Linked DNA regions of Notamacropus eugenii. The protein of the gene in region 2 interacts with the protein of the main gene of each other region in a pairwise test. Links are inferred from orthologs where the notes say so. Each region holds a gene or a part of one and is shown on either strand. Other genes may lie near its edges.

Region 1 (7,143 bases), about 2.0 Mb from region 2:
CCTCGAGGGCCATGAGTCCTGGGGGTGGCTGGGGCTCAGGCCTGGGCCTGGGCCTGGGCCTTAGGGACAGGAGCTCAGGGATTCGAAGTGGTGGAAGCAGTCCCCGAACGACTTCCAGGGGTAGAGGCAGGGGCTCAGGCTCAGGCAACGGCATGGCCAAGGGCAGGGGGAGGCTGGGCCCAATGACTGCTGCAGCTCCTGGGCCCCCCACAGCTGCCCCTGCTTCTTCAAGCCCTGCAGCCGCAGCAGCTGCCACAGCCACAGCAGCAGCGTCTTCTTTCTCTTTCAGACCCAGGCCCAGGCCTAGGCCTAGTTCCCGAGGGGCCGGAGGCTCCTCCTGACAAAAACACAAGGAGATGAAGGTTATCAAGAGAAATAGAAGGGAACAAAGGGCCTCAGAGCCAGGGATGGGGAGGGCATGGGGAGCTGGCCCCCACCCAGGGTCAGCAGGCACTCCCAGCTCAGACTGTGGAGTACCTGAGTGGGTTCAGAGCTTGAGAGAAAAGAGACAAGAAAAAAGAAACAGATATAGAGAAAGAACAAGAAAGGAAAACATAGAGAGATGCAGAGAAACCAAAGACATCTAGGGGAGATCCAGATGATACTGTTAAAGTTGGGGGCTGGGTTCTAGGGTTTACAATAGGGATGTTTGTATCCCCAGGCATTCCCTTCTCACATGCCCTGCACACTCACTGGGGGAGGCCTCAGGGTCGCCATTGTGCCAAGTGGGGGTCCTGGTGCCCGGGCCATTGGTGGCAACATCATGGGAGGTCCAGGGGGACCAGGTAAGGGAGGCCCAACCAGGGCCTGATGTGGGGGCCGAAGAGCCATGGGGCGTGGGCCACCTGCTAAAGAGAAAGAGAAAGTGTGTGGTGAAGGGGGTCCCTGGATCTTTGAGGTGCCGGGGACGCCAAAGAGGGGATGGGGCCGGGCCAGGAACATTCCCTAGGCCCTTCTCTCACCCGCTCTCTGCAGCACATGGGGGACGAAGGCTGGGCGCAGGATGGGGGGACGCTGCGGGGGCACTGCTGAGAGACACAGACAGAGATGGAGACAGGGTGTGAAGGACCATGTTTCAGGGTCTTTGAATGAAGGCCTCAGGGGTTCAGGGGTTGAGAGGGTCCTAGGGTCACTGCTGGCACCTCTGAATCAGTCTTTTGAATCTCAGGGAGTCCTGAGATCGTTGGGAGATCTGTATGTGGGAGGAGCGGTTGGGTATCTAGGGGTTAGATGGTTTTAAAGGGCCTGACGGTATCTTTTGGGGTCCCTTGGGGTTAGGTCTCTGGAAAGGTACCATGGTTGGGAGAAATATCTCTGAAGAGGCATTGTGGAATTGTTGGGGAGTTCTAAGGGCTCAGGAAAAAATTCTGGGGGAGTCTCAGGATTTTGTGACTGTCCTGGAGGGATTTCCTGGGTAGGCTAAATATTTACTGGAGGTGGAGGTATGGGCACTAAGCGTGTGTGTATTAGGGGCAGAGAATGTTGAATTCTAGGCTTTGGGTCCTGGGCACTGACCCGCCCGGCGAAGGAACATGGCATCCCGGGCTTCAGGGCTGTCGAGACGACCTCTATCTCCTCCAGGACCAAAGCCAACTGTAGAGGAGAAGAAACTGCATTGGTGGGGGGACCTTCTGGACTATTCCTTCTTGACCCACCCTCCCTCTTACGTCCTTCCCAACTCACCAGGACCCACAAAGGGGCCAGGGGGACCTACAATGGGAGCAATTACTGTGGCTGCTGCCGCTGCTCGGGCCTCCAGGCTCTGCTGGACCTGACCAGGAGGGAGAACAAGAGAAAGTGGTCAGTGAGGGAGCTCAAATTCCCTTTTTCTTGGGAGTCTAGACTAATAGACAAGTGGAACAAAGAATAAAAGCTGGTTTGGAATTGAGGAACTAGTTGAATGGTAAGAGTCTACACATCCACCAGAAGGTACACTAGACCGCCCTACCTGCTGGTAGGTGTTGGTGGCAATGATTGGGCGGATCACAGGTGCAGGCTCCACAGCTGGTACAACTGGGGTTGGAATTCCAGATATTGGAGCCCCCAAGACTTCCTGCTCAAACCTGAGACAGAAAGAAGAAATGACTTAGACACACAGAAGAATCACTGGGTTTGGTGCCAAAAAGGATCTCAGAAGCCACCTGGTCCAACCCTCTCTCTTTGCAGGCTCGGAAGGAGACTTGGGAATGTTGAAGGACAGAGGGAGAAGTATAAGAAAGAAAAACATGGGAGTCAGACGAAGATTAAGAGACACCACGAAAGATGGAAGTAATCGGACAAAGAAAAAGTTTAGAAAAAACAGCAAGAGTGAGGCAAAAACTAAGACCAGGACGTGGACAGGGAAAGTAAAAAGAAGATAAAAAATCAGGACTACGCAGAGCCCGAGCCACCTCCGGAGGGACACGGAGACAAACACACCAACAAGAGAGAACGAGACGGAAAGATACATCCAGAGAGAAGACACGGAGCAGGGGCAGAGACGTCCAGCCTTAGGGCCGAAGGGAGTCGTCTAGAGCAGGTGAGGTCTCAGAGACGGGACCCACAGGGATGGGAGATGAAGGGAGGCGGGGACACAGGCGGCCTCACCCCCGAGGAGGGGCCAGAGGCAGCGGGCGGTGCGGGATCGCTCTTCCCAGGCCCAGCCAGAGGACCGGAGACAACGGGTAGGCCCCGCCCCCTTTCCCTGCCCCACCCCCACGAGGTCGGCCCTCCCCGCTCCCGGGCTCCCCGGCACGGAGGCAGAGGGACTGCCGGCCCGGCCTCGGGCGCGGCGGGGGGAGGGAGGGGCTCACAGCGCCATCTCCGCCTCCATCTCTTTCAGTCGCTCCTCGCCGCTCTTCCCGGGCACGCAGGGCCCTGGGCCCGAGGGCAACGCTACCCCCGCACCCGGGAGTCCCGGGGGCGGCCCTGTCCCAGCCATCGTCGTCGCCACAGCCGCTTCCGCCGTCTGTCTCTCTTTGCCGACGCACGCCGATGACGCAGAACGCATGCGCTCAAGTGGCACCAATCAGCTTCGCTTTATGCGAGTCCGGCAGGCGCGCAAGCGCAGTTGCTTCCTTGCCTCCTGAGCCAATGAGAGCGCAAGGAACCAGAGACCACGCCCCCAGCCTGCAACTTTGTTTCCATCGGCCAGTAGTGTCGGGGGAGATTTGTTTTCCTGCTGGGAGGGCGGGGGCGTTCCTGGTCTAGAGCTGGGGACTCGGGTTTAATCCCTAGCCCGCCTATAACTGGCCCGAGTGTTGCCTGGACTCCGTCAAATTCTCGCCGCTCTGGCTTTTCTACTTGGAAAGTGCAGGGGCTGCAGTGGGGAGCCCTGGGGTAGTAGAGCCTTGAAAGGCCGGTTTTCAGGAGGCGCTGGCAGGCTGGTGAGCCCGGAAAGAAAGCCTTCGTGAGTCCCCCGGAGCGAGAGGGTGCAGGCTCGGGGGGCACGGCAAGGAGCCAGTTTTAATAGGTGAACAAGGAAAGAGTGGGGGATGCATAGCTCAGTGATACGGGTTGTGAAGCCTTTTAAGATTGGGGAGATCCGAAGTGTAAGCAGATGGGAAGGGCCCGAGCACGGGGTGTAGCGCTTACGAGCTGTAAGCACGCGCCGTCCACGTCACTAAACCTCGAGCCTCAGTTACCTCATCTGTAAAATAAAGACAATACACCTCCCTCCCAGGACACGTCTGCCCAATGTGCGTTACAGAAATACTATTAGCTATCAAAACCGAAGAGGGAAGCACGAGTGGGAAAAGATGGGATGATCACCTTTGCCAGGGTATGGGAGGAAAACTCTTTCCGGGGAGCATATCCAGCTAGAAGCCGAGATGAGCCTTTTCTAGGGAGAAGTAGGAAATGCCAGGTCTAGCTGAGGCCAGAGAAGGCTCGGAGGACTCTCCTGATCCCTGGAGGTAGGCAGACTGAGACAAATGGCCTTGGGGAACAGTCCCTCCCCACTCCCAGGAGCACCCGGTTTCGTGCAGACTCCTCCAGTGGAGTGCTGCAGCTGGGCTTTACTAGAGCCTCAGAGGCAACACTGAAGGTTTGTGGGCTGGTAACTGAAGCGCCCGGATTCCTGAGGGGGGTAGAGGGAGTGGAGGCCTTTACTGCAGAGGGGGGCTTTGGGAAGGAGGCCAACAGCTTCTGCTACCACCTCTCAACCCGACCCAGAAGAGAGCCTTGGGGATCATCTGGTCCAGTCCAAGTCCTTGCCTTGCTGAGACCCCAGAAACGGGAAGTGATTTGAGTAAGGTCACATTCAACTCCTATTAACACGAACTGAGGAATAATAAAATGGATCCCAAATTTCACACTCGGAAGGAACCTCACAGACCCCCTCTTTCCTGCCTTCAAAAGGCAAAGAAACAGAGGAGACCTAGGGTCGAGATTGGATAGGAGTCAGGATAGGGCTGTGGTCCCTGATTTTTCAGCCAGGTCACTGGAATTTAGGTTTCCTGGGGAATGGGGAAAGCATATGGGGCTGGGGGGGGGGGGGGGGGGAACACAGGGGACACAGCAGCCAGCCCTTTAGTTTTCCAGGTTCATCCTGTTCCTGGCTGGGATCTGTGGGGAAGTCTAAGTACCTTGGGAGTACAAAGCTTTGACAGACAGCAAAGCGCTGAAGCACCGCATCTCAGAGGGCATGGCTCTCCAGCAGGGGCTCAGGGTCTGGCCCCTTCCCCTGCCTTGTCTCCACTCCCCAATAAATACACTGCTACTCTCCTAAGCAAGACCTTGAGGAGAAAATGGCAGCCGAGTACCCCAGGGCCTGGGGAAGCATTTCCCTTTTTTGGGAACTCTGGGGGGGACTCACTTCCATAGGGATCCAAGATCCCTGAAGCATCTCCCATTACTAAGATATACTACACATTGAAGCAGGCCCTCCTGTTCAGTCCTTGAATACTGGGAAAAAATCCAGGAAGGCTAAAATTTCATGAGAACAACCCGGTCCCCATGTGGCCCCAGGGCCACCAGGAGTAAAGATGCCACTGTATCCTCCCCAGGAAAGGGCCACCACAGCCCTGGCCAAACTTAAGGAGAGGGAGGTACCCTACACATTCTACTGCCAGTCCCTCCTCCCCAATATGTTAACATGTGCCAGGGGGAGCCAAGGGCACCCTGAGGGTGCCAGTGTGGAAACCAGCTCTTAGGTCATGGTCAGATTTTCTTCCCTTCCAAGGGGTTGGTCTCTGTCCTAAGAACCTTCACAGTGGGAGCTTCTTTCACCCTCCGCTCCCAACCCCATCATCTGGTCCACCTGGCACAGATCTGCTCCCCCTACCCCCTTCCTTAGAGGAGTATCTCAAGTCTTTGATTTCCTATCCTGCCCCAGGAAACCCTGATTGCCTCCTCTTGTTTTAACTGAGGGAACAGGCCAGACACGTCAAGGGCCAAGAGCACATGAGTTGGTCCAGGGGCACTGAAGGACTGGAGAAGTTTAAGGGTCAGAGGTTAAATGCACAGAGAAAAGCCCTGGTCCTGAAATCTCTAAGCACTTTACTGGGAGCAGGAATTTGTCACTTTAACAGTGAAAGGATGAAACCAATTCTTTTCAAGTCCAATAACTGTCTGGCTCTGTGCTTCTGCTCCAAACCTCAGCGTTCAGGCTCTTCGTCCTTGGGCCCGTGCCCAGCGAAGCTTCCACTGCTGGAGGGAGAGGCCATCCTGGTCCTGGAGCTCTTCGGGAAGTGCATTCTGCCCTGGCTGGTCCCACCTGGGGGCGAGATGGCAGGGACAGGCTAGGTCCCTGGAGGTCCTGGATCCTCCTTCCAGCCCAGGTCTGGAGCATCCCCTTCTCAGTTCTCCTCAGCCCCCACCCCGGGTCCCTCAGCACCAGGGCACCCCCTCTCACCAGTCCCCCACGGCCTTCAGTAGCTGGGGGATGTGGTCCAGTCCCTGTTCCATGAGCTCCTCGAGGCGATGCAGGATGGGCCCCAGGTGCTCTTGCTGCTTCTTCTCCTCAGATTCCTGGATCTGAAGTAGTTCTGGGGGGGGAGGGGAGGAAGCAATTCAACGTGACTCAGTGAGCATCCATTAACCCCTTCCACTGGGCAGGACCTCGTTTGGCAGTGGGATTTTCACATACACGATCCAGTCCCTACCCTCAAGGACTTTTCAGTCTAAAAGGCAGAAAAGTCTTGCAGAGAAACAAGGGAGAGTGAAAAGGTTGGAAAATAGAATAAGATGCAATGTTTTTGGAAAATTTAAGGAGGCAGATAACTTTTATCTGGGGAAACTGCTTCAGGTTTTACAAAGGAGATGGGAGCCTGGCCAAAGATGAGGAAGGACTGTCTTCTCTACAGGCAGATGGCATGGCCTGCACAAATAAATGCACAGGCACCAGCAAGTCTGGCTTGGCCATCATCATCAAATTCAACCTCCACAGAGCCAAGGAGTCCAAGGGGTCTTCTGAATCACAGCATTTCAGGTACTTCATTGTTTTGAGTTCACCTCCTCCAGATTAATCTGATTTTCATCTGCTGAGGTCTGGGCATTCAAAGTTGCACATGTGTGAAGAGCACTGCGTGGGCCATTTTTTTCCCACGAACCTTTGTGTTCTCCTTGACGCCTCCCTTTCCTTGACCTCAAACATCCCCTGGTGCTGGACCCCAGGCATTCTGCCTCTACACTATCCACACATGCATTTCTGCTGCCAAGAGCTAGCCATGTGGCAGAAGGAGGGGGTGTAGAGATCATCGAGGTGATTGGGCCTGAGGTGAAGGGGATTTCTGGCTGAGATGGCTGTCTATACTGAGGCCTACCCAACTCCTGGACACCTACTTCAGCAAAAACCTGAAATCTACTCCAGACTGAATAATGACCAAGAAATAGACTGAAAACTGCAAAAAGTGATTTCTTCCACCCCAAAACTGCACCAAAAGTCATCAGTCCACAGGCCATAGAAAAAGGGCCCATCAGCAGAGCAAGGAAGACTATACAGCCTTCTAGAACAACCAGAAAAGGGCCAGGGCCAAGGGCAGCCTGTATGGGCAGCCAGAATGAAGTGCTCCCCCCAAAAGCCCCAAACAGGAAGGGCCCTGAGAAGGGAGAATGTTGTTCAGACCAGGGTGCTGCAGGGCTCTGGGGTCCCTGGCCTGACTTGCCAAAGAGGCCTTGACGATCCAGAACTCTGGACCTTGGAAGAGCAGAGGGCTTTGGAAG
Region 2 (7,795 bases):
TCATTGTCTTAAAGGGACCTGAATTTGTTAAAGTGCTAACCATAGGTTTGTCATAGAAGGGAAAACCCTGCATGGAACGCAGAGCATTGGTGGCACTGCTCATCTCCTTGAAGATGACAAACGCTTGGCCTCTCATCTTCAGGCTCCTCGATACCAGGATATCCAGAATCTGGCCAAACTGGGAGAAGATGGCATACAGGGATTTCTTCAATTCTGGGGAAAGAAAGCCCCGAGATGGGCTGTCAGGCAGCAGCCTCCCTAGGGGAAAGAGGAAACCCCAGCCACCACACTCGGTGACCCAGCCCAAGGCCCTGAGACTTCATTCTCAGGCCTCAAATGGGCTACTCCGAGGATTGGGGGGAAAGAAAGGGCCTCACACTCACCATCCTTCTTTATCTTCTCATTGAGATTGTTGATGTAAATGGTGTGGTTGGGACGTGACTCAGGAACTGCCATAGTGGAAAACCCTTGAATATGGCCTGAAAAAACAGTGGGCCTAGGTTAGTCCGGCTTGAGACATCCTTCAGCCCCTTCGTCCCAAGAATCCCAGGGCCACCACCTAGGCCAAAGGCAAGACAACAAGGGGCCTTTCTTGCTTCAACATCTGCCAGAAGACTTCATGAGGCAGCTCGCTGGGCCCTGGGACACTTCTGGGAAACTCACAAGTTACTGTTTACAAACTGGCCAAAATCTGCCTCCCCACAACTTGTCACCCACCAATTCTAGTACTGCCTTCTAGACTCAAGCAGAGAAAGCCTGACTCCTCTCCCCTTCCCATCCTGTCTCCCATGAACTTCCCAGAGTGACTGGGGCAGCAGGAGGGAAGAAAGCAGAGATCTCACCAACTCAATCCTAGGCACCTTCCTAGCCACAAGATGTAGGCTCCACAAATGGAGCTCACTCACAAAGAGCACCAAGGAAATGGAATTCAATCTCATTGATGGCTCCCACAAAGCAGGCTCTCAGTTCAATTCAACTAATGCTTGTTGGAACAAAGAGCATGAGAAAATCATTAACACTACAAGAGGTGCCAAAAGGCCATGTGGATGCCATGGCCAAGCCTTCTGGACAGGAAAGAGTAAAGGAACTACAGAAGAGGAAGGTCACTGGGCCTGGCACCCAGGCTCAAGGGGAAGCCTAAAGAAACAGAGTCCTGCCTCAGACACATGCTGCCTGGGGGACCCTTGGCGAGTTCTGTGAGCTCTGTGATACAAGCAAGCACAACACTAAGTTCCACATGAGCTGTTGATCTGACTACATCTGGGGAAACTCCCACCCAGACAAGACCAGAGGCCAAACCAAACATGAAGTTCTTTGGATATGGTGCTCTGAAATACATTCTCATTACCTATCATCCCAACAACCCTGTGAGGCAAGGAGGGACACCACTACACCCATTTTTTATATGAGGACACAGAAACACAAGAGGTGAACGCAGGATTCAAAGGCATATAACTTAGAACCATTAAGACTCAAAGCTGAGAGACAGCTAACTGAAGTGGATAGAGCACCAGCCCTAGAGTCAGGACTACAGCCTCAGACACTTACTAGCTGTGTGACCCCAGACAACTCATTTAACCCCAATTTGAACCTCCTGCTGAGATTCAAAGCAGGTCTAGGACTCTTTCAATTACAAGGTGCCTCCAAAGCACATCAACACCCTTGTTGCCTTCATTGGTATTCTAGGCCTTCCAAGATGGCCCCAGCCCAAGTATCTCCCAATCTTCTTGCCCAGCCAGTGGTTCAGGCCAACATCCATTTCAATCCTCCCCCATCATCACTTATTTCAGCCTGCTATGTGCTGGGCCCAGTTCAAACAGTCCCTGCTCTCAAAGAACTCTAATTCTAATGGGGGAGAAATAGGACAAGCCTGGGCCAAGAGACGCCCATGCCAGGTAACAGGTGGGGAAGAGCATGAGCTCCCATGGCCAAGGAAAGGCTTCCCATGAGGTTGGGACAGCATCACAGCTGATGGGCACTGGAGCCTAAGAGGAGGAAGAAAGGAGGGCACTGCCAGCCCCAGGAAAAAGACACAGAGGTGAATAGGGGCCCGTACCCCGGGCCAGTATGAGATGGGCAATAGGAAGCCTACAGTGGAGGGGGCTTCCCAAGTGACGGGACACAGGGGGATGAACGCAGTGAGGAGCCGACCTTGGAGATGACTGCATCGACGGTGGCGCCCCTGAATTAGAACAACCGTTTTGGGGGCAAAGAGAAGGGGTCCCGTTTTGGACACAGGGACTTGGCCCCGTGGAAGGGCGGCGCTCTGCAGAAAGGTGAGGGCCGTGGCAGAGCCAAGGCAAGTCGGAGAGGCTCACGATGGCAAAGACCAAGGAGATGGAGGGCGGGAGCCTCGAAAGGGCCAAGTGACACCGCGGGGCCCTCGTGCAGGCGCGGGCCTGGGCGGCCGCAGGGAGCTTACGCTAACCAGGGCGCTGTGGGCCGGGGGTGTCAGCGAGGTCCCCCCCGAGCGACTTGCCCGATTCACGCGGGCGCCAGCTCTAGCTCCAAATCCAGGGCTCCGGCCACCGCACCACCGGGCCTGCCCCCGGGCGGCTGATCCCGGAGCAGCGGCGTTCCCGGGTCCCCCCCGGAACCGCGGAGGCTGGGCCTGCGAGGGAGGAGAGGGGGTGAGGAGGGTACCGGCGGAGGCCACCGGGCGCGCGCTCCCGGCCACGTGTCCGAGGCCGGCTGGCGCGCCGCCAAGGGCGAACGTTCGCGTAGCCCCGCCCCTCCTCGGGAGGCGAGAGCCCGTGGGGGGGGCAACGGATAGGGGATGGAGGGGGCAGATTGGGGAGTGGGGTCGTCGAGGGGGACGCCGAACACCGGCGGCCGAAGGTACGGGGCGGAGAAACTTCGCCAGCCCAGGCCCGATGACGGCCGCCCGCGGACAATACTTACTAATGGCGTGCGTCCGCGAGTTCCGCCGGTCGCTCTGTGGCGGGTCCCTCCTCCGCGGGGCTCAGCGGCGCTAGGCCCCGCCCCCATCCTAAGGAGAACCAATCCAGGCGCAGGATGTCTGGCCGTCTGGCCAACCAGAGATATCCCCGCCCCACCTGCGCAGGCTTCGCCAATCAGAACGTATCTTTGACTCCCGCCGCGTCTTGGAATGGACAAGAAGAAGAAGGGGAGGTCTGGCAGTCTCGTTTCCTTCGCCGCGCCCTTGTGCGCTGCGCATGGCCTGTTACGCAGCTCGTATACTTTGGAGTCTTACTGGAGGCGGGGATGGACGCTGATGGGGAAGGGGAGGAGGGGCAGTCTGTCACGTGATTCGGCGGCGGCCGCCATCTTGAGAAGGTGGTGGTTTGGGGGCGTGGGCGGGAGCTCGGAAACTTCGGCCTGGGTAGCCTTCTTTTCGCCCTCCCCCCTGCTGCTTCCTGCCTTTTGGACCTTGGCCCTGGAGCCCATTTCTTTGCTGGCACCTGCACCGGGCTCAGCCTGACCTTTGCCCTCTGGCCTCCCTCTTGCCCCCGAGGCTGACCCCAGACTTGAACTCGTTAGCTGGAAAGTCCCCTTTCCTCCTGACCTATTCTGGGCCCCCGCTCCACTCTTTGTTCCCCAGACCCCTTCCCCCCATCCCGCTTCACCCCTGACGGTCCCTCCCCTGGGCCCTCGGGGCCGCTGACCCCTGACCCTCGCTGCCTCCACCTGGCCCTGGGCCTGAGCCCCCAGACCCTCCTCCTCCGGCCCGTGCCCTTTGCACCCCGCCCCGCCATGGCTGCCGTGGGGTGCCCCCCACCCCCTCCGCTGCCCCCGCCCCCGGCCCCCCCTGCCAGCCCCCCCCACGTCTTCGGCCTCGAGAAGGGCCGGCTCCTGAAGGAAGCCCTGGCGAGGTCGGACCCGGGGCTGGGGGTTCGGGAGGATGTCCGCCGGCTCCTGAGGCTCCGCAGAGACCGGTAGGGCCCAACTCCCCAGGGGTCCCGGCCTCGCTGCCTCTGTCCCCCCCAGGGGCCCAGACGGGGGCGGGGGGCTCATCCACACCTCACACCCCTTAGGGATCGTGTGACCCAACTGGCATTTTACAGATGGGGAAACTGAGTCCCGGAGCAGGGAAAGGTCTGAGTCCACCCAGCCAGGAAGGGACAGAGCTTCGCCCCATGGGCAGCATCCCAGTGACCTCGGCGTACAGCCGCTGAGCCGGTGGAGCAGGAGGCCTTGGCCTGGGGGGTGCCGTGGGGGTGACCTCCATCCGGCAGACTTGTGCCCCGAGTTCAGGTTGTGCCCTCAGACGGGTGCTGGACGAGTCACTGCACTTCAGCCTGCCCCAGTTTCCTCATCTCCAAAGCAGGGATAACTGCAGACCCTGCCCCCAGGGCCTGAGGGGCGCAGTGCAGCCCCTGGCACAGAGTAGGCACTCTGTCCACCTTAGCTGTTGTTGTGAAACAAGGACCATGGTATGTGCGCCATCTGCTTCCCAGGATCGTGAGGGGTGTTAGGTGGATGCCTGGGAAAGCAGAGCTGGGGCACGCCTTGGCTCCCGATGGCCCTGCCTCATTTCGTAAAAACGTACAGTATGAGCCTAGCATGTCATCGGAGGCTGCCAAGTCCCACCCTTGTGGGGAGAAGAATGAGATGAAGGGAAGGGAACGCCCCACGGGCGGCGTCCCCTCCTTCTGGTCATCTCACCCAGACCATCCCCAGCTGGTGGGATGTGGCAGGTTGGCCTGGATGGCTTCCCGGGGACTCTGGCCAATGACGCGTCTTCATCAGTTTCAGGAGCGATCTGAAGTGGATCCTCTTCTGCTCCGATGTGCCCTCCCTCATCCAAGAAGGGCCTCAGTAGGTAGCCCTCCCCGCTCCCTGCCGCTTTCACTCTCCTGGGATGGGGCAGAGAACAGGGGTCCTTGATAGAGTCCACCCACCCTTGAGAGCTGAGATGGGCCCAGTGAGATGTTTGGGGGGAAGAACCAGGGGTCAGAAGGTGCCTCCATAAGCTGGGTCAGAGGATGGATCAGTATTGCATGATGACACACTGAGCTGGGATTTGTGAACTCTGGGCTTGGCCCGCCCTGCCTGCTGACTAGCTGTGTGACCTTGGACCAAGCAGTGCATTGCTCTGGGCCTTCCTGCCTGGGAGATGAGCACAATAGCTCCTGCTTGGAGAAGATGGCTTCAGGTTGCATGAAGCACCATCAGTCTTTTAATACTATCCTTGTTGCCTAGCCAAGACACTGACAAAGGTCCTCAGGATCCACGTCCAGGTGCTCGAGGCTCCCGGTACCCAGCAAGTACCATGGAAAGAGCCACTGGGCTGTCTGAGTCCCAGCTCAGTCCCTGTTTCTTCATCTAGAAAGTAAAGCCTGGACTAATCCAGGAAGGTCCTTTGCTGCTCCAGGCTCCTCAGTGAGGGGTCTGGACAGGGCAGGGGCCAGTCCTCCTTGTCACTGACTCATGTTAGTGCTGCCACCACTGCCCAGAGTGAGAGTCAAGGCCACAGAGAGGATCCCAGGCTCCATCGAGGGGGAAAGAGCCAAGGAGGGAGAGTAGGAGAGAATGAGTGGCTAGGTCCCCTTCTGTGGCCTCATGCCTAGTACACAGCTCCCCCCATCAGGCAGGTCTGATCCCCAGGCTGACCCAATTCAGAATACTCCCCCAGCCTTCTCAGTCCCTCCATCCTGCCAAACCTCACTGAGCCCTCTCCCCACTTTCAAGATTTTGGGGCCTAGGGTTTCTTCTCACACCTTCTGTTCCCTCAGCCTCCCAGGATGAGCCCTCAACTCTAGCCCTGGATTTCTTCCAGGAAAATTCTCCTTAGTCTCTTCAGAATGCTGCCTATATAGAAGTCCCTCCTCTTCCCGTTGTAGGCTGGCCTGGGAACATGCTGGAGTTTGGGGAGGGGCCTCAGGGCTGGGGTGACATTGCTTTGCCCTCCATCTCCTCTCAGGTGTGGGTTGGTAGCGCTGTGGATGGCAGGCTCTCTGCTTGCTCTCCCCCAGGACATCCCCTTGGAGAATATTGTGGCCGTGGCTCTGGAGAGAGGGTACACAGCTCAAGGAGAGATGTTCTCAGGTCAGTGAAAGCAGGGGAGATGGCAGCTGTGATCTAGCCAGACCAGATCTGCCTAGGACTGACACCCTCCCCCTCTTCCCTGCAGCAGCCAGTATGGCCAGGCTGGCCAAGGAGGTCTTTGGATGCCAAGTGGAGCTGCTCTCTGGGGGCCTGGGCGAGCCCAATCGATGCCACATCCTCCAGCACCTCATCGCAGGCTTCCCACTGCTGGTCCCGTATCCTTTACATGCTAGGGCCACAGGTACTCTTTGGGGTGGTATGGACCAAGAGAGGGGCTCACATCTCCTTGCCCTCCAGGTCTTGGCCTTGACTGGCCCTGCCCAGCTATGATGAGGACTACAACCATGAGCCCTGCAAGAAGAAGGGGCACAAGGCCCACTGGGCAGTTGGTGCAGGTAACTCTGGCTTAGGTTGGGACTGAGGTCACCCTACCCTTGACCTCAGTGCAGAGCTCTGCTACTTTAATAGCGGCTAGCCCTCAGAACACACCTTCCCCCAGGGGCAGTGGCTGGAGACCCTGGCTGGGACCAGGATTGTCCCCCTCAGCATCGGGTTCATCATCTCTGGAAGGAATGGGATAGGACCATCCCCACCTTGGGCTGGACTTCCTACTTCCTGGGGAAAGGCCAAGGAGAAGAGCCTTAAAAATAATAAGTGCCATGCATGGCACTTACCGTGCTAGGTGCTGCACTAAGCACTTTAGAAACGTTATCTTGTTTGAGCCTTGCTACAACCCTGGGAGGTGGGTGCTGTTGTTATCCACATTTTACTGATGAGGAAACTGAGGCAGGCAGAAGAGAAGTGTGTAAGGTCAGCTGCCAGGGATCAGTCATTGCCCTTCCCTCCCTGTCCCCCCACAGGCCTCCTGCTAGGAGTTCCTAGTCCAATACTGAGCCCAGATTATGAAGAGGACTCAGAGTTGAAGGGCCTGTTTTACCCAGCATCTGACAAGCTCCCTCTCCTCCCCGAAGACCCTCCTGAGGCCGTCTACCTCCTCTCCAAGCAGGGCAAGAGCTGGCATTACCAGCTTTGGGATTATGAACAGCTTTGTGAGAGTAACCTGCAGCTCACTGACCTGGCCCCAGTCAGGACCACAGATGGTAAGGTCTACGTGGTGCCTCCCGGCGGAGTGCAAGCAGGCCTCTGTGGCCAAAGCCTGCTGCTCCGACCCTAGGACTCAGACCTTCCCCCTGGGAGTCAGGCCTGCTGTGTGTGCACGTGTGTGATGCTAAGGTCCTTGGTTTCCCCATCCATCCTCTGTCCTACGGAGATTCTGAGAGGCCCAAACGAGCTGCTTTGGTGGTAGAGGAATGTTGGACCTGGAGAGCAGAAGCCAAGGCCTAGTCCTGGCTGTCTGTGCTATTACTTGGCCCTGGGACTTAGTTTCCCCTTTGTGTAGTGGAGTGTGGTGAGGGGATGTAATGTCTCATAAACAGCCATGCCAGCATGAGAAGAGCATCCTGTATTGTCTAACTGTGGATCCCTTGAGACTCCCCTCTGAAGGGAATTCACCAGAAGCCAAACTTGTGGAAAAACAGTCTTATCAGGCTTTGTTTATTTCAGGGAATGGCCAGGTCCCTTCCCCATCCCATCTCTTCCAGCATCAGCCCAATCTTCTTTATAAATACATAGAAAGAGGACCCACCCCCACCCCTCCATCCCCCTTCCAGGCCAGGAAAAGAAGCTTAATTAAGGCTAGAACTCTTGGGAGGCAGCGGGTATGTAGTGAAAAGACAGCGAGGGGGAAGGGAGGTCTGGCCTCGAACCCACAGCTCTGCTACTTCCC
Region 3 (7,151 bases), about 17 Mb from region 2:
CTGGCAAGGTAAGAAATGTAGTTACTGCAGGGAAGATCTAAACAGCCAAAGCCACAGTCTAAACCAAACATCAAACTCTGGGCCCCAGTCACTTAGCCCATGAGGGTGGCCTCAAACAGATGAAACATATTTAAAAGGTAATCGAGACATATTTAACGAGATGTAGAACGCAGTGTTATTTTGTTTTTTTTCCTACTTTTACAGGTGACCCACAGAGATCTGTTTCTACTTAAGTTTGACCCCACTGTTCCAAACATTTGGCTTGGGGGAAGGGGAGGAAGGATTTATGGCCCCCACTGTGCCTACTGACTCCTCTTCTCAGAAGACTGTTGGGGTTGCTTTTTTTTTTTTTTTTTGAAGATCCTTAACTGATGAAAATGCTACATTTCCATAGGAAGTGACTACAAAGACACAATGTTTTTTTTTTTTTGCCTGTCCAATTCAGAATCACCAGAAATTTCTTCATGGTTAAAAATCCCTGAGGCTGACAGTGTGAGGCAATAGCTAATATGACAAATAAGGGTCCTTGGGACCACCAATGCCAGCCCTACCACTTGACAGATGAGCAAACCCAAGACCAGAGATAAAAGACAAGGGCAGAAGCTCATGGAGCTGGGGATGTATAACAGCAATCTATCAACGGAGTGCTTTTGGACCAATGCAAGAGTTCTCCTTCCATGTCAACGTACCCTGGGACTGTGCAAAGGATTTCCATTTTATCAACAAGAAAGCTCAAGTTTAGAAAAGTAATTTGCTCTCTGTCCCACACCAGTGACTTTGGAGGCCATCCGGCCCTATTCCCTCTTTACGTGGGGGAAACAGACATTGGCCCACAGGAGCACGTTCCAATAAATGCTGGAGGCCAGGCTTTCAGCCAGGCCTTCTGGCCCAGAGCCCAGGTCTCTTTCCCTTAAGTCATGTGATCCAAGGCCCTATGAGGCCCTGCAATCTTTGGCTCTGAGACTCCTTGGATCTCCCCATGAGGCAGCAGCCAAAGCTGGATTAACAGAGATTTGTCATCCCCTCTGCCCGGCAAGATGAGCTACAGCTTAACTAAGCAGAAAGAGCACTGAATAAGAAGGATCAGGGTTTTACCCTTAGTAACTCTACAACCCTGGGAAAGTGTTTCACCTCCACAGGCCTCAGTGTCCTCATCTGGCAAACAAAGAGTTTGGATAAAGGTAGACTGATGTCCCTTCCAACAAGGAATCTATGACCTTCTGACTGATCCCAGCCCAGAGCCCAAATGCTTAAACACAGGCCACAGCCCTCTGGCTCCTGGGAAGCAGAGCTGAGATCGTGGGAGCCTAAGGCTTTTTACCTGGGTGAGAGATCCCTGGTGCTGCCCAGGGGTCGCCGCCTGCTGCGGTGCTGCTGTCGCGTAGGTGGTGGTCAGACTGTACTGGCCTGGGGAGCCATAGCTTTGGTACATGTTCTAGGAGACAGGCCAGCGGTCAGTGGGGACGCCAACGCGGACTCCACTTTGGCCCCCTCCCTCCAGCCCCCAGCACTCACCATAGGGTAGTAGTAATTGTAGGGATAGGCATAGTTGTACTGCTGGTACCACTGATAGTACTGCTGCTGCTGGAGCGCGGCGGCGTCGGCCTGAGCCACATACTGAAGGGACACAGGTGGGGGGGCAGGGCACAGAGTGAGGGACACAGACACACACCCTCCTCCCAGGTGCTCCGAAACACACTTGGGGAAAAGAGGGGAAGGGGCAAGAATGATTCCGCTCCGGCCACCTGGCCTCATGCTCTTCAGCACAGTTAGGAAGCTCAGGGGTGGGCTCCCATCACCTCCAGATGCTCGGGGGCTGCCCCCCCCGCCCCCCCACAGGGGCAGCCCCGCTCACCTGGGCCGCAGCCACTTGGCCGTTGCTGCTGTTTTTGGCCGAGCTGCCCGTGGCGCTGGCCTTGCTGATGCTGGCCAGGGCCTGGCGGGCCTTCTCCCACTCGGGGTTCTCGTGCATGGGCGCGTCCATGGCGCTCTCCCTGGCCGGCCCGCTCCCCAGGCTGTACTGGGCCGCCCTGCCACACAGGACATGACCTCACAGACTCATGGAACCCGGAGGCGCGGGGGCAGGGCGGCCAAGGGGGCCCCAAGACACGGCCCCCATGCCCGTAGGGCCCGGACGCTGCTGGGGGCACCCCCTCCTGGCCCCCCGCAGACACTCCTGGATGCCCCCCCCGGGGAAGCCCCCACACCACTCACCACTCGGCTCCCCGCTGGTCCCCCACATTGGCGGCCATTCGGACCTCGGGCTGGGCACCGGGGCCCCGGGACGGCGGCCTGCGTCTGGCTTCGGGGAGAGGACGGAGGTGAGGCGGGAGCTCCCCCTGCTCGCCCACCCAACCCGGGAGCCCCAGACTACGGAGAGTCGCGGCGGGGCCGGCGTTCCGGAGGCGATGGGCCGGCGGCCCGCCACCCCGCCTCTGCGCCTGCGCCCCGGGGACACGCTCGCCCCCACGGCACCGTCCCCGCCACGGGCGCGCGCCTCCAAACCCCGAGTTCCAAACTGCCCGGAGAGGGCGGGGGCAGCGCATGCGCAACGGCGCCTCTGAGACGCAAACGCCCAAGCGGCCGGCGCCAGACGGGCAGCGCGCATGCGCAGCGGCGCCACCGCCCCGCAGCCGAGGCGCGCGCCGCGGTCGTTGGCCCGGGCCCGTGAGCGGGGATGGCGGGGAACGGGGCCTCGAGCCCCGGCAGAACCCTGAAAGCGCACAAAAAGCGCGACGGCCAGACCCTCTCGTCCCACTCCCGCGGCCCGGCCCTGCCCAAGATGGCGGCACCAAAGGCTAGCTCACCTGACGGCAGCTTCTTCCTCCGGCGCTGAGTCCAACGCGTGAGGGACGGTAGTAGAGGAGGAAGGGACGTGGCGAGGGAGCGCACGCGCGCAACGTCAGCACGCCGCCGCGGGCCCCGCCCCGTGGCCATCGCGGGGGCCAATGGGAGGTCCCGTACGGGCCCGCTCCCCTCCCCGACCGGCGCTTTAAAGACTCGAAATGCCCATCCGAAGGACCAATGAGAGGTGAGACTGGGACTGCTTCCCCATCCAGCCACGCCCTCCCGTACTGGAGGCCTAAGCGGAGAGGGGGCTGGGGGTGGGGGTGGGGTAAGGTACTCCGAACGTCAGCCAATGAGAGCTGCAGTGGCGTAATGAGCCCGCCCCCGGGACAAGTCCCGCCCCAACTGAACTAGGGCAGAGGAGGGAGGAGGCTCATCGTAGAGTATTGAGCTGGGTGAGAGAGAAAGAGAGGGAGAAGGGAGGGAGGGAAGGGAAGGACGGAGAGAAAGAGAAGGGGGGAGGGAGAGAAAGAGAAGGGAGGGAGAGAAAGAGAAGGGAGGGAGAGAAAGAAGGGGGGAGGGAGAGAAAGAAGGGGGGAGGGAGAGAAAGAGAAGGGGGGAGGGAGAGAAAGAAGGGGGGAGGGAGAGAAAGAGAAGGGGGGAGGGAGAGAAAGAATGAGGGAGGGAGAGAAAGAGAAGAGAGGGAGAGGAGGGAGGGAGAGGAGGGAGAGAAAGAGAAGGGGGGAGGGAGAGAAAGAGAAGAGGGAGAGAAGGGAGGGAGAGGAGGGAGGGAGGGAGAGAAAGAGAAGAGAGGGAGAGAAGGGAGGGAGAGGAGGGAGGGAGGGAGAGAAAGAGAAGGGGGGAGGGAGAGAAAGAGAAGAGGGAGAGAAGGGAGGGAGAGGAGGGAGGGAGGGAGAGAAAGAGAAGAGAGGGAGAGAAGGGAGGGAGAGGAGGGAGGGAGGGAGAGAAAGAGAAGGGAGGGAGAGAAAAGAGAAGGGGGGAGGGAAAGAAAGAGAAGGGAGGGAGAGAGAGAGAGAAGGGAGGAGCAGCTGACAGAGGAGACCCCAGCACTGGAGGGTGCAAACAGAGGAGGCCCGGGAGTGACTTGGGTACTGGGGGGGGAGGGGTGTACACAGAGAGAGGAGACATGGCCAGGACCTAGGGACAGAGGGGAGACTCCAGTTCTGACCTGGGTGCTGAGGTGGTACAAAGAGGGAGGAGATGTGGGCACTAAGAGGGCAGCACAGAGGGAAGAGACCCCAGTCATGACCTGGCACTGAAGGGGGCAGAGAAAAGGCAGATGCAGATGTGGCCTCTGAAACCAAAAAGGAGTCAGACCACCAGAGTTATCCCTAAGCTGTACAGATCACAGAACAAGAAGAGAAAAGAAGAGAGGGCACGTTCTGAGGGCACCTTGTTGCCCCGAATCAATTCTGGGAATACTTCTCCAATGACCTGTGACCCTAGGCACTGGCAGAACCATTAGAAGTGATTGTGGAACCATCATCGATAATTTTCCAGAGCAGATCATTAAAGGACTGATTAATGATCTTCAAAAGAAGCAAATGGTGGCTCCAAGAAGCCCCTGTGGGCTGTCTCATCAAGAACGGATCATGCCACAGTAACCTTAGTATTGTTTTTTCATGTATTCACCTGTTAAATCATAGTAATATTGTATGTTGTTTCTCTAGATTTTTGACAAAGTCAGCTAGAGGCAACTAGGTGGCACAGTAAATACAGCCTGAACCTGGAGTCATGAATTCAAATCCAGCTTCATACACTAACTCGGAGACCCTGAGCAGATCACTTAACCTCTACCTCAGTTTCCTCATCTGGAAAATGGGAATATCAGTAGAACCTACCTCAAAATATCTAAAGTGCTTAGCACATCATTAGCACTTGGTAGGTGCTTAATAAATGTTTCCCTTCCCTCATTCCTTCCTTGTGTTATTCTTGTGGAAAAGGTGGAGACATTGGGGCTGGACCATAATCCAATTAAGTTTGGAACTGGTAGGATATTGGACCTAAAGACTAATCCTTCTTGGTTTCTTGTCAGCTAGGAAGAAACTCTCCAGTGAAGTGATCCAGGGAATGTATTCTCAGCCTTGTTCCATATAACATTTTCATCAATGACTTTGCCCATGACCCTCCATCTCCCATCTCAGTACTTTTGCGCTACCTGTTCCTGCCTCACTCCTCCCCAACTGCCAATGCCTCCCCTTTTGAGATGACCTGCCCTCTGTATGTATCTTGGCTATATGTAGTTATTTATCTGTGTCTCTTCATTAGAATATGTTCTGCTGCTGCCTTTCTTTGTATCCCCAGGTCTTAGTACAGAGTAAGTGCTTAATCAGTTCTTGTTGACTGACTATAGACCTAGATGATATCCCTATCAAACTCAAAGATGATGCAAAGTTGGTTAGAAAAGCTGCCATGTCCTCTTGGAGGTCAAAGACAGACACAAAGTACCAATGGACACCAGACAAATCACAGCAGCCCTTAAGTGTTACCAAAAATTTGGAAACTAAGTAAGCACCATCTCAGTCAGGGAAGGATTAAATAAATGGTGACATGAGAAATAATATGACGACTTGGGGAATCACAGGAAGATTTGTATGAACTAATAAGTGACTGAGATGTGTGTGTTCATCCTTCATTGTTGAAGAAGACCATGCCATCAGAGAAATGATGACATGACTTGCACTTGACTTTGTTTGGAATGAGGGAGGGCTGTGCAGGTCACCAGCCTCACTTCTCCTCCAGAGCCATCTGAATCCAGTGACCAGATATTCATCAGGATGACTGGAGATGACCTAGGATGAAGCAAGTGGGGTTAAGTGACTTGCCCAAGGTCACACAGCTAGTGAGTGTCAAGTGTCTGAGGTCCTCCTGACTCCTGCACTGGTGCTCTATCCACTGCACCACCTAGCTGCCCCAAGTGACTGAGATGAGCAGAACCTGAAGAGCCATGATTACAACAGTGAAAAGATTACTCAAAGGAAGTTGAAGTCTGAGTAAGTGAAAAACCAGTGATGATTCCAGAGGGCAGATAATAACCCAGACTTCCCCTCTGTAAACCAGGAGGGCAGAAGGGCCAGATTGGTTCGCTATATCAGTTGTTTTGCTAGAATGTTCTTCTTTGTTACAAGGTGTAGATCTGGGGGTTGGGGGTGGGGGAAGGAGTAACAATTAACTTTGCTATATCCAGAAATGACCATGATATGGATACAAATGTCCACAATTAAACTTGTAAGGAAAGGAAAAAATGGAGTCACAGTTCCATAAAACCTTGATGTGCCAGAACACCAGGCAGAAGCCAATAAGATGAAATTTTAGAGAAATGTCTTACATTTGGATTTTTGCAAAACCCACTTCATGAATGCAATAAAATTATAGTTAACCTCAATGTAATCTTTTAAGTTAGCAAAGCACTTTATGTTTTCTCATTGGATCCTCACAACAGCCCTTGGAGGCAAGTGTTATTATTATCCCCATTTTACAGATAATGAACTGAGGCACAGAGAGTTTAAGTGATTTGCTCAGGGTCACACATCTAGTGAGTGATGAGGCAGGATTTGAACTTGACTTCCTACTCCAAGTTTCATGAGCTATCTGCTGTGCTCACAACTAGGCAGCCATCAGCCTGAAAAAGACTGCAAGCTAGATTTATGTCAACAAGGCACTGTGGCAGCAAAGAAAGTCCAATCTTAGGATGCATCCAGGGAAACAGCATCTAGAAATAAGGCCTGTAACAGCTTCAAAGTGAAAGGGACCTCAGAAGCCATCCAGTCCTACCCCCTCATATTGCAGGGGACAAGAGTGATGCCCAGAGAGGTTCACAATCTATAAAGTGCTGAGATATAGATCCTAAATCCTCCAGCTCCAAGATGGACAAGCTTCCCCATTCCCTCTTCCCTGTCCCTAAGGAGATGAAGGTCCTCTCCCTTGCCCAGGAATTTTGTATTCAGTTCTGGGCACCTACTTTCAGGAAGGATTTTGATGAGCTGGAGAGGATCAGAGGAAAGATAACTAGAAAGGTGAGAACCTATTCACCAAACACCATGTGCCTGCTATGTTTGAGGCAGTGTACTAGGTGCTAAGTAGTTTTTTCAGGACCTCACATTTTATTAGAAAACTACAGTAACACAGGCAAAGGCAAAGCAGTTTCAAGAAGACAGTCCCTACCCTATGAAGATCAGGTGAAGGAACCAGGGTTGGCTTATTTGAAGGAGAAAAGACTCAAGGGAGACCTGAGACCTCTCTATGAGTATTTGAAGAACATTTGAGTGAAGGAGCAATTAGAAATGTTCTCTTTGGCCCCAGAGGGCAGACAGACAAGGATTTTGTTGTGGGTTTTTTTTGGG

The links. The genes of interacting proteins can lie anywhere in the genome.
Region 1: the proteins of SNRPA (region 2) and RBM42 interact in a two-hybrid assay, tested with the Homo sapiens proteins (2 studies listed by BioGRID and IntAct). The link is inferred for Notamacropus eugenii from reciprocal best matches to the Homo sapiens genes SNRPA and RBM42.
Region 3: the proteins of SNRPA (region 2) and LENG8 interact in binary tests that used the Homo sapiens proteins (3 or more experiments, as listed by UniProt). The two-hybrid records come from large-scale screens. The link is inferred for Notamacropus eugenii from reciprocal best matches to the Homo sapiens genes SNRPA and LENG8.

What each region holds. Positions count from the first base shown.
Region 1 is NC_092876.1:32,863,448-32,870,590, reverse strand, and holds the start of RBM42 (RNA-binding protein 42), read right to left. Parts: upstream 3,005-7,143; 5' UTR 2,990-3,004; coding exon 2,793-2,989; intron 2,574-2,792; exon of another isoform or gene 2,167-2,573; intron 2,064-2,166; coding exon 1,949-2,063; intron 1,801-1,948; exon of another isoform or gene 1,772-1,800; coding exon 1,684-1,771; exon of another isoform or gene 1,594-1,683; coding exon 1,516-1,593; exon of another isoform or gene 1,029-1,515; coding exon 963-1,028; exon of another isoform or gene 849-962; coding exon 694-848; exon of another isoform or gene 338-693; coding exon 2-337; exon of another isoform or gene 1-1. Other genes in the region: HAUS5 (HAUS augmin-like complex subunit 5), read right to left, coding at 5,584-5,695, 5,834-5,966. UniProt on the Homo sapiens protein: Binds (via the RRM domain) to the 3'-untranslated region (UTR) of CDKN1A mRNA.
Region 2 is NC_092876.1:30,892,061-30,899,855, forward strand, and holds the start of SNRPA (U1 small nuclear ribonucleoprotein A), read right to left. Parts: upstream 3,005-7,795; 5' UTR 2,902-3,004; intron 2,612-2,901; exon of another isoform or gene 2,152-2,611; intron 480-2,151; 5' UTR 457-479; coding exon 384-456; intron 214-383; coding exon 41-213; intron 1-40. Other genes in the region: ACTMAP (actin maturation protease), read left to right, coding at 3,715-3,896, 4,711-4,779, 5,885-6,009, 6,095-6,224, 6,334-6,404, 6,870-7,183. UniProt on the Homo sapiens protein: Component of the spliceosomal U1 snRNP, which is essential for recognition of the pre-mRNA 5' splice-site and the subsequent assembly of the spliceosome. U1 snRNP is the first snRNP to interact with pre-mRNA.
Region 3 is NC_092876.1:13,671,405-13,678,555, reverse strand, and holds the start of LENG8 (leukocyte receptor cluster member 8), read right to left. Parts: upstream 3,005-7,151; 5' UTR 2,938-3,004; coding exon 2,808-2,937; intron 2,476-2,807; exon of another isoform or gene 2,303-2,475; coding exon 2,215-2,302; intron 2,031-2,214; coding exon 1,856-2,030; intron 1,699-1,855; coding exon 1,516-1,698; intron 1,436-1,515; coding exon 1,322-1,435; intron 1-1,321.